2 linked regions of the Drosophila melanogaster genome follow. The protein of the gene in region 2 binds, or shares a complex with, the protein of the main gene of each other region. Each region holds a gene or a part of one and is shown on either strand. Other genes may lie near its edges. The genes, in order: Rad1 and Hus1-like.

What was found.
Region 1: Hus1-like (region 2) and Rad1 share a complex: the UniProt entries of both Drosophila melanogaster proteins name them as parts of the 9-1-1 checkpoint clamp complex.

What each region holds. Positions count from the first base shown.
Region 1 is NT_033779.5:2,573,309-2,577,233, forward strand, and holds Rad1 (radiation insensitive 1), read right to left. Parts: upstream 1,745-3,925; 5' UTR 1,674-1,744; coding exon of another isoform or gene 1,568-1,673; intron 1,508-1,567; coding exon of another isoform or gene 1,074-1,507; 5' UTR 1,073-1,073; coding exon 968-1,072; intron 895-967; coding exon 175-894; 3' UTR 128-174; downstream 1-127. Other genes in the region: Sws1 (SWIM domain containing Srs2 interacting protein 1), read right to left, coding at 1,074-1,507, 1,568-1,673; insv (insensitive), read right to left, coding at 2,143-3,264, 3,329-3,337.
Region 2 is NT_033777.3:4,810,316-4,814,240, forward strand, and holds the start of Hus1-like (Hus1-like), read right to left. Parts: upstream 1,782-3,925; 5' UTR 1,668-1,781; exon of another isoform or gene 1,129-1,667; intron 473-1,128; exon of another isoform or gene 357-472; intron 1-356. Other genes in the region: Gmppb (GDP-mannose pyrophosphorylase B), read left to right, coding at 3,488-3,661, 3,924-3,925. UniProt on the Drosophila melanogaster protein: Component of the 9-1-1 checkpoint clamp complex. Involved in both meiotic and somatic DNA damage responses.

The sequences.
Region 1 (3,925 bases), on a different chromosome or scaffold from region 2:
CGTTCCAAGGCCACCTTAAGTACTCAACTGAATGCTGAATCCATCTTATATTTGCATGAGAAGCATTAACAATTGACCCACACGCTAACTACAGACCTCAATTAGATTTACATGATTTCAAGATTTTAGCAATATTTTAAAGTTCTATTTTATTAGCTACCTAGTAGTTTCGGTTTAATCAGTGTTGAGCAAAGGAATTATGAAGAACTGAATGAATATCTCCTCCTGGCTATCGCCCTGCATTACCAGATGCAGTTCTAGGAGGCCAACGGAGTTCGTTTTAATGGCCACCTTGGTGGCCGACTGCATCGCCTTGTTGGTCATGCGGATCTGCTGGCTCTTGTAGCGAGCCACCACCGTCTGTTTGCAGTTAAACATCATCATCATGGGACTCGTCTTTGCCACTTCGACGCTGAACACCGCCTGCATGATCCCCACTGTGGTGATCTTAAAGTGCGGGCGGTTCGGCGATGTCACGAACTCGAACTCCTCCGCGGACTTCTCCAGCTCATTGAACACCTTCGATAGGTTCGGTCCGCGTACGAAAATAACATTAAGATCCGGATCCTTCAGATTCTGATCGTAGTCAATGGGCTCATCGCAGTCCATGGTTTTGATGGCGCACTCCGTGCTCACATCATCGTCGTCGTGCGGATACAGAATTATCTTCAGGGGATCGCCCTTATCCCTGTACATCATTCGCAGGCTGCAATCGGCGGATCCGAAGAGACTGAGACACTCGGACAGCACATTCATTTTCACACCGAAGCACTGGAAGTCCTGCACACGGAACTCCATGAAGGCACCCGGCGGCATGAAAAGCGTTGCCTGGATGGACTTGCCCTGCTCCACGGTGATGCGCAGACCATCTTCGGAGACTTGCACCATCCCATACTGTGGGTAAAACAATAGGTTGTTACCGAGTTAAGTTGGTTAACGAATAAAGAGAGTTCGAGTTAATCCTTACATCATTAAAGCAGATTGACTTGATGGCCTGGATGAAGGTCTTGATGTGCTCCACTCGAGCGACGAATTTGCAGTCGCCGTAGGGCGATGGCTCCACATCAGTCATCCTAGTCCCGAAAGACGTCCGTCCGCAGCTCCTTGATATCCTCTTTCTTAAGGATCTTCTCGGTGGTTTTCCCGCCCGTGTGCTTCAGAAATTGATGGAGCCGCAATGCCAGGATGTGCTGGCAGGTGTAGGACACCCGGCTCTCCTCGCTCCAATCCTCTAAAATGCCCGGTTCGCCACTGGGAAGGTCCTGGTAGAGGATGCCTCGCGGCAACTGCAGCACGTGGCACTGGAAGAACTCACACTTGCAGAAACTTACGCCCGGAATCAAGCGGAAGTACTCGGTTCCCTTGGAAATTTCTACCACGCACACGGATCGATTGTTCTTGGCGTGGAAGAAGGAGAAGTTGTGGTCGTCCAAGAGGTGTAGCGATCGCAGGACCAGTTCTTGGCCCAATAAAATGGATAGATCGTAAAAGAACTGTCCGCGTTCCTCTGAAAAGTTTGAAATCCAGAGTAGTTACTACAGAATCTTTCTGATTTGATAGCTCGTACCTTTTGTAAGGCTGTTGGACTCTGCTTTACTCCGATATAATTCGAAGACTTGATCAACCAGATGCGGAACAAAATAGGATGTAGTGTTTTCTGACTCGGACGCCATTCAGGACATTATTAAATCCAGTTTCTTAAGTGAATTTTGTTTATAAACAATACCGCCAAAAAGTCGTCAGGCGTCAACAGCTGTTCTGAACAAAAGTCTGGCAGCGCTGCATATTGGTGATTTAATTATTAGGGTGACCAGTTCCAAGCCTTATATGGTAAATGAATTTCGCGCCAATTATCTAATTCGAATTGGGACATTTACTCTTTTCAACTTTTTAAAGAATGAAGGCTTTATGCAGAAACCCTTATCTACCCTGCACAACCCCTGAAATGTAAATAAAACCACAATAACTTTTGGTTCGGATTGGTAAAATCATCTTCGAGATCTTTAAAAATCTGCTACACGTTAGTTCGATGTAGTGCTCTACTATCTATGGATTGTGAGAGTTTGTGCGGGCATTACAGCCGTTTTTGGTGCTATTCTAAGTCATTAATGATTAAGTGCTAACAAATTTCTACTAATACATCTAAATAATGTTCTCCTTTTCGTGTTTGATGCCACTGCTGCGTCGCTTGACGTTCTGGATCTTCATCATCTTGTTCTCGTCGGCGCACTTGGTGGTGATGGCGTTGCGCACCTCCTTCTCACTGGCATTACACTTGTGCGTCACTGCGAATATGATGTCCTGGATCTTCCCAGGATCGAGCATTCGCTTGAGCGGCTTGTCCTGATCCTTGAAGGCGGGCGACGGCTTGCCCGTCATCGAATGGGTGGCCAGAGTTTCCCGGTCGAAGATCGTGACCAGTAGTTTCCGGGTGGCCAGCGAGCACACCGACCAGTTAATATTCTCGAAGACACTGGCGGGCACACAGGTGTTGTTCGGGCCAATGGACACCATCACGTTGTCCATGTTTTGCTGTTGGCCCTTGTTGAGATCGGTAAAACTGCCATTACGGGCTTTGACTTGGGGTTTGGCTGGTAGTTTTATGTTCTGCCGCGGGATTTCTTCCTGCAACTGAATCTCCTGCAGCTTGCGGCGTTTGATGAACTGTAGTGGAGTGTCGGCGGACTCGGAGGAACCATCCCTCTTTATGCCGTTGCTAATCCTGTACTGCTGCTGGGAATTGTGATGATTGCTCTGCTGATGATTCTCGTCGCCCAGGCAAATCTCCAGGCGATCTGAGTCCGCAGAGGTGCTCAGGCTGTTCAGACTCTCCGCCGCCAGGCGAATCTCAATGGCATCCGCATCGTCGGGTGCCGAGATGATCTTGTAGTCCAGAATCTGGGGATTCTGCGCGGGCGCACATATCTCTGAACTCGGTGGCGTGAGAATGTGGTGGCTCTGGACCGCGGGCGGCGTGGGTGGTCTACTTTCTGCCAGCAGGGAGGATGCCTGTTGCATCCTGGCGGAGGTGGCATGAATCTGGGATAGCAGATCCTTGTGCTGCTGCAGTTTGGCCTCCAAGTAGCGGACCTTATCGCGGAGCGCTCTGTTCTCGACCTCCACTTGCGGGTCCGGCGCGGAGATGCTGCGAAGCACCTCGAAGTCCACGCTAGAAGTCTGCGACCAGGCATTCAGAAACAAGGGCTTGCTCCTCCTTGCCTGCGAATCCTCGCGTGCAGTGGCGCTGACTATGCGCTGATATTGCTGCAATTCGATGGGAAAAACTCTTGATCAACATATTCGGTGGAGATATCCTGCAGCTACTCACGTTTTCCATGTTCAATCCTCAAAGGATCTGCGTCAACTGAAAATTGGCGGCAGAATGCGAAAAGTGGTTGCATTCCTACCTGCACGCACACATGCGCACGCATATACGGGGAAGAGAGCGCCTGCCTCTGCGTGTGTGTGAGTGTGCCCTCCAGGTAGCTGATATCCTATTCCTGTTTCTGTTTCAGGACCCCGTCTATTTCCCAACTAGTCCAAGTCCAGCTGTCTTTTCCTTTCTTCGCATGGGATTTGTTGTTTGCGCGGGAACCAGTATATGTATTATAATTATTATTATAAATAATTGCGAATAAAGCTGCTTTTGCTCTCTCTTTCATCGACAGGGTTGACACCTAGGGCTATGAAATAAAACTATCGGTTGCAAGTCACGAGGGTTTTAAATTTTTAAGTTCTCTCTATAAAGTTTTTTTCTTTTTCTTTTCAGAATATCCGTTTGGTTAAAATTCTGTATTCTGCACTTTGGCGAAGGTCAGAAAATAAGAGAAAAAAGTAAATGTAACAAAGGAATGTGTAAGAATTCTTTCCACAGTTCCAAGAACCAAAAAGGACAATAGTTGGGTTTTGTAAAAAAAAAACCGGT
Region 2 (3,925 bases):
ACGAAATGAAGCACGCAGTCAGATACAAAGACTGCCTCGTTCTCCTTGCACACAAAGTCATCAAACGACAGACAGGATTTGTACGGCTCAAGTGTAGGGGCGGCTCCAGGGTTGGCTCCCGGGGCGGGGAGGGTGTTGCCAGGGGGCTCCGGGGGCGGAAATCAAATTATATCCCGTCTAGGGGGTCAAAATATTTCCTTTCGCAGTTCAATCAACCTTCAAGGTTATTGATAATGAAAATGAGCTCAAACGTTTATGCGTGGCAGAGTGGTTAGTGGATAACAAGAAATTTGGCAGTACCTCAGCGATTTTCCATTTGCTTTTAAGAGTTCTTTCAGAAATGAACTGGTACTTACCATATTTTGTTCTTTCCATACACATGGGTTGTTTGAGTTGCTGTATAAGTTGACAAAGCTAGTAATACTATGGCATCAGGAATGAAGGAAGCATACAAAAACTGATGTAATAATCCCTAAAATTCAGAAAAAGTACGTCACTGAGTTCTCCGGGTTGAGTTTTGTTCAGTGCAATGAGGGCTATTTTATGACATTTAGTAGGCCTTTTAGGAAGGGCAACTCTAGCTCGCACGACAGTGCTGCCTATTTGGCAATCAGCTGTTTATTTTTTCTCTTTAAAAATTGACCTATGACGTCACAGCAGCATAGCGAATTTCACAAAGAAGCGAAAAAAAATAATGGCTACACAAATATGTATATATATGTATCTGCTTTCTTGCTGAAACCCTCGCGTCATTGAAACGTATCTAAACGTATGTATCTATGTACATATGTACGTTAACAATTAAATATTAAAATTCAAACAAATGCTGGAGAGGGGAGGAAAGAATATTAAAGTGCTGAAAAGAGGCCAAAAATTGATCAGAAAATAAATATGCTGAGAATAAGAAACGTGATTGCCTTGCAGTCTCACTCACTAACTCACACACACTCACTCTAAATACATACATACATGCTAGCATGGATGGAGCACCACCCGCTGAAGTTTGCAGCATAAATAAAAGAGAAAGTAAAACTAAACAAGATGCGCTCGACCCCCACCCACCCCTTATCAAATAAAAGAAAATACCAACTCGAATAGAATAAAAAGACACACATACGTATTCATCAGTGGATAACCTACACGAAAGACGATCAAAATTGATTTGCGAGAAAATTCTATTCGTAAATTTATCAACTAACTATTTGGAAAATCATTCATTTGGAATTGTAATCACCTATGCACTTTGGTATAAGCTTTTCTGTGCACATTTTCCTGGAAAATGAATGAGACTCCTCGGCAGCCATTGTAAAAATCAATATTGGAGATTGCCCTCAGAAAAAAGTGCACTTAAACCCAGATGTCACTCAATCAAAAACTTCTAATTGGGAAAGCACAAATTTACCACACTTTTCCGAGCCTTCGAAAGGCATAAACCTTCACAAATCGGTGGGAAAAAGTAATAGAGGAAAATACAATTCGGTCGACATTTTGTTTTCCGTCTCGCTGGTGCCTATTTGAAACGTAAGCGTGTGTATGTGTGCGTATGTGTATCTCGTCTGAGCTCGGAGCCCCATAAAATCAGTGGTCAAATTACTTCTTCGTATCGCCATAGGCTCGCCTTTGCAAAGCTTTTTGGTCTCCATGGCGTCCGCAGCAGTCGCACTTACCTTTCAACCAAATGCAGAAGTTTTCTCTAAGTATGCACAGTTTTTATACACTCAGCAATTTTCACACGCGACGGAAAACAATGTGCACCAGTGAGACCGCGTCTTGCTACGAACGACTATCGACATCGAAAACCGATAACGATACCGATGGGGAATGCTTTGTTTATTTGAATGTGAACGATGCATTTGGGGCCTTCCGTTACCTTCGCCGCAGACCGCATTTGGTTTGTAGGCGATATGCATGGTAATTATAATTATAGTGATTTAATTAATTACAATTATAATTGTATTAATGTATACAGAAGTATACTTTATACATAAACTTACATTGAGTTGCGTTTTCAAGAATAAGTATTGCGAAACTTTTAAGTAAGCTATAAAAAGCTGAATTTCTACTGTACATTTTAGGATTTTCTTTTTGATATATTTTGAAATGTAGGGAATAGTCAAAACAGTAATGCCGTTGAAACCTTAGAAACCATCAACCCGTTTTGCTCTCTACAATATTATTCGGGAATGCTCCGGTAATCGAATTCGTAAGAAAATTTTAATTTGTAAAACGGCCTTTTAAAAAGTAAATGCCTTTTTTATATCAAATCAGATCTTATTAACTAAGGGGAAAAAATAGTTTGCTGGTCTATTGATATTTATTAATTGATGTTTATGTTCCACATCACCATAAGATCATTTTTAGACTTAGTTATATTAAACAAAAGTAATTTCTGACCCCACCTGAAATTTGACAAACAAAATTTTGCAGTTGGCAACAAAAAGTTTCGATTTGGCAAGTGTTCATAATTATGTCGACAAAAGCTATCAGGAAGACTGCTATACTATTGGTGAAACAATACAGTATAAACAGTATAAATGCATATAAGATGTAATGAAAAAAAATTCGTAATTAATTTAAAGGAGGGTCGAAAGTACTGTTCGTAAATAATACTATTTAATTTAATTACTTAAATGGACAAAGTGCAGTGCGAACATCGGAACTAAAACTGTGAAAAAATTGGTCGCTCCATTGTCTGGAATACAGCTTAGACATCTGTTTCCTGTTTACAAAACATTCCGATCGCAAAAATTCCGCGAAAACCCGAGCACCTAAAAACGAAGTCGAAAGATTTTGCCAAATCGTAATCGAAAAAATATTACTATTACCGGAACATGCCTGATTGTGGTCTTTAGATAGGTTATTTAATTTAAATTAAACTGAAAAGTATTTTTTAAGATTCTTCAATTTAACAAGAAATGAATTTTAATAAATTTTATTAATTTAGCGTAAAATGTTCGGTGGAATCCGGCTATCAGCGCTGCTGCGAGTGGGACGAAGCGCAATCATCGCCATCTTCCGATAGTGTTATCCCAACTTTGCCAGCTCGGTTTTTATTTACTTTCCTGTGCGGCGAGTTTACTCATAAAACAAATGATAATAAAATACACAAAGACCATATTGAATGTTCAATGACAAGATCGATATTCCTAAGCCTTGAAAACGTCCATCTAAAACTAATAGAAACTATTATTGTTTTGGGACAGGCAAGTGCATCCAACCAGAAGCACAAAGGTTCTTATCACGAAAAAAGACAATTCCAAAAACAACAACAAGGAAATAGATAGCGCAACAAGGTGAGTAAACAATAAACTAAAGACAACCAACTGAGTCACTCACTTGCCTTCGTCGATTGCAGTTGTTTGACCGCTGAAACGGAATCTCGTTGTACGGAGAAAGTCTCGAGAACTTTAAGGTGTGACGTGTCGCTCGCTTACGGACTATAGAAACCGGAGAACGGAAAGGAGGCGGAAGCGGAAGCGGAGAAGTGATGTGTGGAAATCCAGCTGTGGGAAACGGGACGAGGGCGTTGATTCTGGTCGGTGGTTATGGGACCCGGCTGCGACCCCTGACCCTCAGCACGCCCAAGCCACTGGTGGAGTTTGCCAATAAGCCGATTCTTCTCCACCAACTGGAGGCACTCGTCGATGCGGGATGTCGTCAGGTATATCCAGTTTTTTAGACTAATGACGCCCAAACTGCCCCATTGCTTAGGAGAATGGAAATATGGCACATCATTCTTAAAACAAGGTTTTTTAAACACCTTTGGATGTTTAGAAAACAGTTGATCTTGTTCCATATTGGTTGCCGTTGCCAAATTTAGGGAAGACGGTTACATAACACGCTAAGAATCAAATCAACTTCCTCTAAAAGAGATTATTCTTTTGTTTTATATTTCTAAAATAATGCATACTTCTTTCTCGCAGGT